Linked DNA regions of Oryctolagus cuniculus. The protein of the gene in region 1 purifies or fractionates together with the protein of each later gene. This does not show direct contact. Links are inferred from orthologs where the notes say so. Each region holds a gene or a part of one and is shown in the gene's direction. Other genes may lie near its edges.

What was found.
Region 2: the proteins of ACAD9 (region 1) and TIMMDC1 purify together in Homo sapiens (affinity purification with mass spectrometry; 3 studies listed by BioGRID and IntAct, counting the BioPlex papers as one, with this or other methods). This does not show direct contact. The link is inferred for Oryctolagus cuniculus from reciprocal best matches to the Homo sapiens genes ACAD9 and TIMMDC1.

What each region holds. Positions count from the first base shown.
Region 1 is NC_091441.1:111,772,476-111,776,286, reverse strand, and holds part of ACAD9 (complex I assembly factor ACAD9, mitochondrial), read left to right. Parts: intron 1-281; coding exon 282-357; intron 358-1,543; coding exon 1,544-1,614; intron 1,615-2,246; coding exon 2,247-2,366; intron 2,367-3,531; coding exon 3,532-3,660; intron 3,661-3,811. UniProt on the Homo sapiens protein: As part of the MCIA complex, primarily participates in the assembly of the mitochondrial complex I and therefore plays a role in oxidative phosphorylation.
Region 2 is NC_091435.1:76,014,711-76,018,521, forward strand, and holds part of TIMMDC1 (complex I assembly factor TIMMDC1, mitochondrial), read left to right. Parts: intron 1-1,440; coding exon 1,441-1,529; intron 1,530-2,011; coding exon 2,012-2,079; intron 2,080-3,528; coding exon of another isoform or gene 3,529-3,749; exon of another isoform or gene 3,750-3,811.

The sequences.
Region 1 (3,811 bases):
TTTGCAATTCCCATGTGTGTTGAGGGGCCCAAGTACCTGGGCTGTCTTCTGCTGCTTTTCCAGGCACATTAGCAGGGAGTTGGGTTGAAAGTGGAATAATCAGAACTCGAATCAGCACCCTTGTAAGATGCCAGCATTGCAAGCAATGGCTTAACCTGTTGTTCTGCACCACCCCTTGTCTGATTATTTCTTGAGTTTAAATACCACCAGGGGAATTACTGGGGCATGGGTCTGTGACCTTTGTCTTCTTAAGTGCCCTTGAGCTTTCTGGATCTCTGCAGGTGGCCATGAACATCCTCAACAGCGGGCGGTTCAGCATGGGCAGCACAGTGGCCGGGATGCTCAAGAGGTTGATTGGTAGGTAAGTGGGGGCCAGGGGCCCTCTGCTGCCCCACTGCAGCCTGGGAGACGGCCATCCCCTCCCTACTGTGCCCCCGGGGGATTGGTGTCTCCTCTGGGAAGCTTTGATGCCCAGCACCCCTTCCCCTTTGGGTGGCTGAGCTGGGCCACCTGGCTGGGTGGTCAGCACTGGTGGAGCATCTGATCCGTGGTTCAGAGCAAAGAAGGTCCTCCCCAGGGCTTGTATCTCAGCGTTCCTGTTTCTCCTGCACACAAAGGGCAGGGGCGAGGGAGGACGTCCTGGCAGGGGCAGGGAGGGGCTGCTGCTGTGACCCTCCCAGGTTCCCGTCCCAGAGGTGACTGGCCTGGGATCCTCCCCTGTCCCTCAGCTTGGATCTCCCTTTGTTCTTTGCTATCAGCACATGGAAAACCTACATTTTCGTTTGCCCATGAACTTAAAACAGCCCATCACCATTCTCATGGGATTGACTGCACGGAGCAGGTTGCTTAGGAACTGCGTGTTCCTTAGTGCACCGTACCTCTCGGTCAGGACAAGATGGACGCACACAGGCTTAGTCTGGGGTTTTCCTGCATGAGGCCTCTGCTTCCCCATCTGATAGACCCCTTAGTGTCCGAGTTGGGGCTTTCATGGTCAGCGTGTTCTCCAAAGGAGGCAGAACCTCTGAGGAATTCCCACAGCCCAGAAGCGTGCTGATGCAGGGACTCATGCTGAGACCTCTGGGAGACTGGATCACGCCTGTGGGAGCATTTGGCAGCAGCGGGGGGGGTTGCAGAGCTCAACTATATGCCTTCAAGCCCAGGCCCTCCTGCCGTGCACGTGAGTACCCGTGCCACGCCTGGGCCACTCCACCTCTGTGTGGCACTGTTGGCCCTAACTTTGTGCGAGGCATCCCTCACCTTCCATCTGGTTTCATCTTGGCAGCAACTCAGTAAGCCGGGCAGTGTTCAGGGAGATGAGCGTTTCGGCCGCCTCCTGCCTGCTGAGGATGGTGCAGGATTCTAACCCAGGTCCCTGACCACGGCCTACTGTAAGAGGGCTCTAGTTGTTGGGGTATTGGTCTCAGCAGACACCTGTCTCCCAGTTGCTGCCTGAGTGTCAGAAGGGTAATGGTGATAGCCTATGAGACCATGCTGGCCAACCAGAGATATTCTGGTTCTTTGTAACAACTCTGCTCTTCTGCAGAAATGACCGCTGAATATGCCTGCACGAGGAAGCAGTTCAACAAGAATCTCAGTGAATTCGGATTAATTCAGGTACTCATGCTCACGAGTGCTGTGCTTCTTGACTTCACTTTGTAGACACGCAAAGTGTGCTGTCTGCCCTCCCTGCACCTGTGACTCCCATGCGGGGCGTGCAAAGATGGCTGAATAAGGTTTGATGATGAGGTCCCTTCCTTTTATTTAAGCATGGGTGTAGTTCACTCTCCCCCACCCCTTCTTGCTCTGTGGTTGTTTTTTTTTTTTTGGAAAGAGTTATGGAGAGAGAGGGAGAGACAGAGAGAGAGGAGAGAGAGAGACCTTTCATCCAATGGTTCACTACCTGAATGGTCCTGGCTGAGCCAGGCTGAAGCTGAGAGCCTAGAACTCCATCTGGGTCTCCCATGTGGGTTCAGGTGCCCAAGCACTAGAGCCACTTTCTGCTGCATTTCCAAGTACATCAGTAAGGGGCTGCATATGAAATGGAGCAGCCAGGATATGACCCTGCTCGCATAAGGGACACTGACATTGTAGGTGGCGTCTTAACCCACACCACAGCGCCAGCCTGGGGCACGGCTCTCCTGAGCGGTGAGCCCTCTGACGTAAAGGCCTGCTCGGCTGATAGGCAGATTGGATCTCAGCTAAGCAGATGACTTGATGGGTGTGTGTGTGTGTGTTTAATCCTCCAGGAAAAGTTTGCACTGATGGCTCAGAAGGCCTACGTGATGGAAAGTATGTCCTACCTCACCGCGGGGATGCTGGACCAGCCCGGCTTCCCCGACTGCTCCATCGAGGCCGCCATGGTGAAGGTAATCCCGGCGTGAGAGCCCGGGAGCCGGTGCAGGAGGGACTCAGAAAGGCTCCGTCGCCTTGGCCTCCAACCGCGGGGCTGCCTCCTGCCTCCCTCCCGCCTCCCTCCTCTTGTCGGTTCACGGGCCAGCTCCCAGCGGGCTCGTGTTTACGACGCACCCCGGGGACCGCACCCCAGGGGTAGGCAGGCCCTGGGGTCGCGCAGGGGAGAAGCAGCAAAGCACAGGCCCGGCCGTGCGTCGGTTTGCAGGCAGCACGGTGCTCCCCAGGGCGGCGCGGGGCAGCTTTTCCAGAGGTCAGTGCTCAGCAGCAAGAGGAGACGTAGCCAGCCATTGCTGGGACGTCACAGCAGGGCGTGGGGCAGCGGGCTCGCTGGGAGGGACCATCTGTTCCCCCTACTTCCTGGTCCTGGGCTTCCTCGTGTGGGGTATTTGCAGTGGGAGATCCTGGGGCTTTCTGTTGGTGTTCGTAGGCAGGGCTCAGTGTCAGGTGGAATAAGTAAGATGGCTGCCCCACTTGGTTGCCCTGAATCATTCCCGCACTGGGCTCCGACTTGGGCTTGAGAGACTGGGTGGGAGACGCCCAGTGCAGGGCTCGCCCGGGCGGGGCAGGGCCTTCTCCCTGGAGGTCACACGGTTCCTGGCGCTCAGTGAGTCCCCTGTGGGTGAGTCTGTGTGTTGGTTGTGCCTCAGCCATCACCAGCGCCCACCCACGGAGGCTGTGCCTCTTCTGGGTGCCAAGCCTGGAGCTGAATCCGGCAGTGTCTCCTCCCCCAGTCGCTCGCGGTGTGGAGGGACAGAAACAGGGCCTGGCTGCCGGTGCGAGTGCAGAGGACGAGTCCCGGGTGGTGGGGCTGGTGCGGCTGGGCTTGCTGCACGAGGTGGAACCTTTCTTCAGTGGGAACTGAAAAACAGGAGCTGACGCAGGCATGGAGGCGGGCCCAGAGGTGTGGAAGGCCAGGGCAGGGATGGGCACCGCAGGCCGGTGGTGGGGTTGAGGAAGGCTGAGGACTTCCGGTCATGCAGCCAGTTCCTCCCTGGGTCAGTGTCATCCCAAAGCCCAGTCCGTCTCAGCCACCGCGCTGCTCCTGGTGCCTTGGCCGCTCTGCTGGGAAGGGATTGGGCCCCGGTGCCCCTGTGCTGACCTCTCCCTGGGTCCCTGCAGGTGTTCAGCTCAGAGGCCGCCTGGCAGTGCATCAGCGAGGCCCTGCAGATCCTCGGGGGTTCGGGTTACATGAAGGACTACCCGTACGAGCGCATGCTGCGGGACTCCCGCATCCTGCTCATCTTTGAGGTGAGTGCCCGGCTGTGGCCCGCTGTGGACCCCTGCCGATGCCCTCCCCTCCCCTCCTGACCCTCCCTGTCCTGGGGATGCTGCTGAGACCCAGCAGGGCCCCGGCGCCCAGGCTAGCCTGTGTGTGCTCACCCTGGACCCTCTCACAGCC
Region 2 (3,811 bases), on another chromosome or scaffold:
TAAGCCACTACTTGACTCCTGCATCTCTTCTGAACCAGCTCCCTGCCAGTGTGCCTAGCAAGGCTACAGATGACAGTCCAAATAGTTGGGTCCCTGCCACCCATGTGGGAGACTTGGATGCAGTTCTAGGCTTCTGGCTTTGGCTTGATCCAGCCAAAGTCATGGAGACATTTGAGGAGTGAGCTATCAAATGGAAGATCTCTTTCTTTCTGTGTCTTCCTTTCTCTCTGTCTTCTGCCTTTCAAATAAGTAAATAAATCCTAAAAAAAAAAAAAAAAAAAAAATTAAGAAGGAGCTGGCGCTGTGGAGCAGAGGGTTAAAGCCCTGGCCTGAAGCTCTGGCATCCCATTCTAGTCTCGGCTGCTCCTCTTCCAATCCAGCTCTCTGCTATAGCCTGGGAAAGCAGTACAAGATGGCCCAAGTCCTTGGGCCCCTGCACCCACATGGAAGACCTGGAAGAAACTCCTGGCTCCTGGCTTTGGATCGGCGGCAGCTCTGGCCGCTGTGGCCATCTGGGGAGTGAACCAGTGGATGGAATACCTCTCTCTCTGTCTCTACCTCTCTCTGTAGCTCCTTCAAATAAATAAAATAAATCTTTAAAAAATTAGGAAAGATATAAATTCTTTTTCCTAAACTTTAGTTAATACTAAATCCCCTTTCTGGAAAGCATGTTGTAAAGATTAAGTGAAAATAATATATTAACATATAGCAGGTGGTCAGTAAATATTAGTTCTTTTTTTCCTGCATATCTGTATCCTTTAATTCCTGCCCTTTAATTTAGCATTTACTTAGTAGTTGTTCTTTACTTTTTCCCTAATATTTCCTGCATGTAAAGAAAATGTCTGATACTGATTTTGCATCTGCCCATGGTGGTTGCCACAGATTCTTAGCAGATACTTAATTGACGAATTACATGGTTGACACTGATACTCCTTAGTTCCTTTTCCATCTCCTGATAGAGTAGCATGCACATTGGATTTTGCCTTAAGTGTCAGTATCTAAAGAATGATGTCCCTAGACTTTCCTCCACTGTAGGGTTTGTCTTTTTTTTTTTTTTTTTTTTTTTGAATTTATTTATTTGAAAAAGTTACAGAGAGGTAGAGCCAGAGACAGAGAGAGAGGTCTTCTATGTGCTGGTTCACTTCTCAAATGACCGCAATGGCCAGAGATGCACCGATCTGGAGCCAGGAGCTTCTTCTGGGTCTCCCACGTGGGTGCAGGGGCCCAGGGACTCAGGCCATCTTCTATTGCTTTCCCAGGCCATAACAGCTTGGAAGCGACATAGCCGGGACTCGAACCAACGCCCATATGGGATGCCAGCGCCGCAGGCCTCAGCTTTAACCCACTGTGCTACAGCGCCAGCCCCCTCCAATGTAGTTTTTGAAACAGGAAAGTAGTCAGGTTTCTTGGCATCTGACAGCTTTTCTTTGTTAACTTCAGCAAAGTGCTCACCGCGCTGCCACGCGAGGTTTCATACGGTACGGCTGGCGCTGGAGCTGGAGAACCGCGGTGTTCGTGACCATATTCAAGTAAGTTTTCCCTGGACTGTCAGGCGTCTTGGTGTTGTTAGGAAGTAGCAGCAGGCAGTATAAAAACTGGAAAGCCACATGATGCCTTTTTTTCAAGACTTTTGTCCATCTGTGTGCTCCAGGATGGTCTTGTGAAAACGACCCAGTCAGAATTTTGCCTCTGCGTTGCAGGTCTGCCAATTAGATCAAATAGATATAATATTTCTAAGAAAGAGAAAATCTGCAAACTCTTCTTTATGTTTCTGTTTCTAAGTGATTCTTTGTTCCTGAAATGCGATTGTTGTTTGGTTCATTCTTCAGCAGGAGAGCCACCTAGTGAGCCCAGAGCTGTACTGGCTGTCTGGAGCACATTGAAGGGGCCTAGACCTAGGACCTGTTAGAGCAGGAACCTCTAAAGCTATCATTTAGTGAAAATAGCAGTTGAGAAGGTAAATGGGCTATGCTTTAAATCTTATGTTTTCTTTTTCCCTCCTCCTTTTCAGCACAGTGAACACTAGTCTAAATGTGTACCGAAATAAAAATGCCCTAAGCCATTTTGTCATTGCAGGAGGTAAGACATCTTTGTTCTTGCTTACATTTTTCAGTCCCACATGTGGTTTAGAAAATATGTAAGGATTATAAATCGGAACTGCTGAATTCATTGATTGGCTTCCCTACCATTTCATTCAGTGTTCTTGAAAATATACTTAAGAAAAAGCATTACGCTTGGCCTTTGGTATACTTCTGAACAAAACTGAAAAGATCCTTGCTTTCATTGAATTTTAAACTCTAATGTGAATGGGAAAAAGCAGGTCTCTATGGTAGAATGTAACAGATAGGTGGGAAATGGGATCTGGCGTGGACAGGGGCTCAGAGAAGGCCTCTCTGAGGAAGTGAAGTGAGAAGGGGCAAGCTTTGCCAAGAAAAGTGGCCTCAGCAGGAGAAACCTCAAGGGGCAAGGCTCTAAGGCAAGAAATTTCCTCGAAGCAGGATAATCTGCTCAAATAGTAGGCAAGGAACCCTAGTTTGGGATGAGATTTATTAGGTGAGGTAGAAAAAAGCCAGATTTTTTTCATAGTAAGAGTTTGGATTTTCTTTTCTTTTTTTTTTTGTTCAAGAATCTAGAAATATATATGTTATTTAAAAACAATACAGCATCTTCTCACCAAAGTCTGGAGGCCAGAGAGACTACCAGTTTACAATCTACTTTATATTATTTGTCTATTCATATTCCAGTAGCAACCAAACCATTAAAATATTCAATTGCTAAATACTTTCTCCTACAAACTAGGCCCTTAAGATTTTAAAGCATAATGTAATTGTTATCTTTTATCTCCTTGCTACTAATTAAACTCCAGAGTAAATTTGTTTGGAATACTTCCTACACTATATGCTTCCATTTTAAATATTCTTTTATTCAGCCTGAACAAGACTAATACTGATCAGCAGTACAATTATCAGACCCAAAATTTCAGCTTAATGTTATAGGCCTGGAAAAAATATAAGCTCTTAAATCTTTTCTCTCCCTTTAAGTTTAAAAGAAAGTTATAGACAGTAGTTGACTTTGCATTTCTGTTATATCATACATTTCAACAATGTCTTAATCCAAAAAATAAAAAATTAAATAAATAGGTCATATAACAAGCTAAATCATACACATCTTGATTAAGAAACTAATACTAGAATATTATCCAAATAATAAAGTAGGCACACACTCAATTATCACATTCCCTATATATGAGAAGAGGCATTAAGCATTCAAGTTGAAATTTTATTTACAAACTTATCTAGTATGCTATGAGTTCAAGAGTCTGATCCATTTTTCAGAGACTGCACCTCTTGAAATGCTGTTATCTGTTAAATGGAGGACCTAAAACATGCTTATTTCTTAAGCAGTTAGTGTTGTACTATGAAGAAAGGTACAGTAAATCTAGATCCAAGATACAAAGTCATCATAGCTAGCAACCTCCACTTGTTTCCCACTGAAAATGGCAAATTCTTCCCTGGGCCCTCCTCACAGTGGCTCCTACGGACCTCAGAGGTTGTGAACCTCCAGATGCTGTGTTCCAACATGGTGCTACTGGAAGCTCTGTGGGAGGCACAGAGACCGAGGAAGGAAGAAATGGCGGCACCACACCAAGCCTCGCTCCTTTCACGACCTTGTTCCCCTGTGTGCAAGGGCCGAAACTGGGTTTTCGTTTCAAGTTCTCTGCCTGTAATAGATATATCTCTATTAAATGAACATAAAAATAAGAATATATGGTGAGGACAGGACCTAGAGCAGGGGATAGGGATTGGAAAGA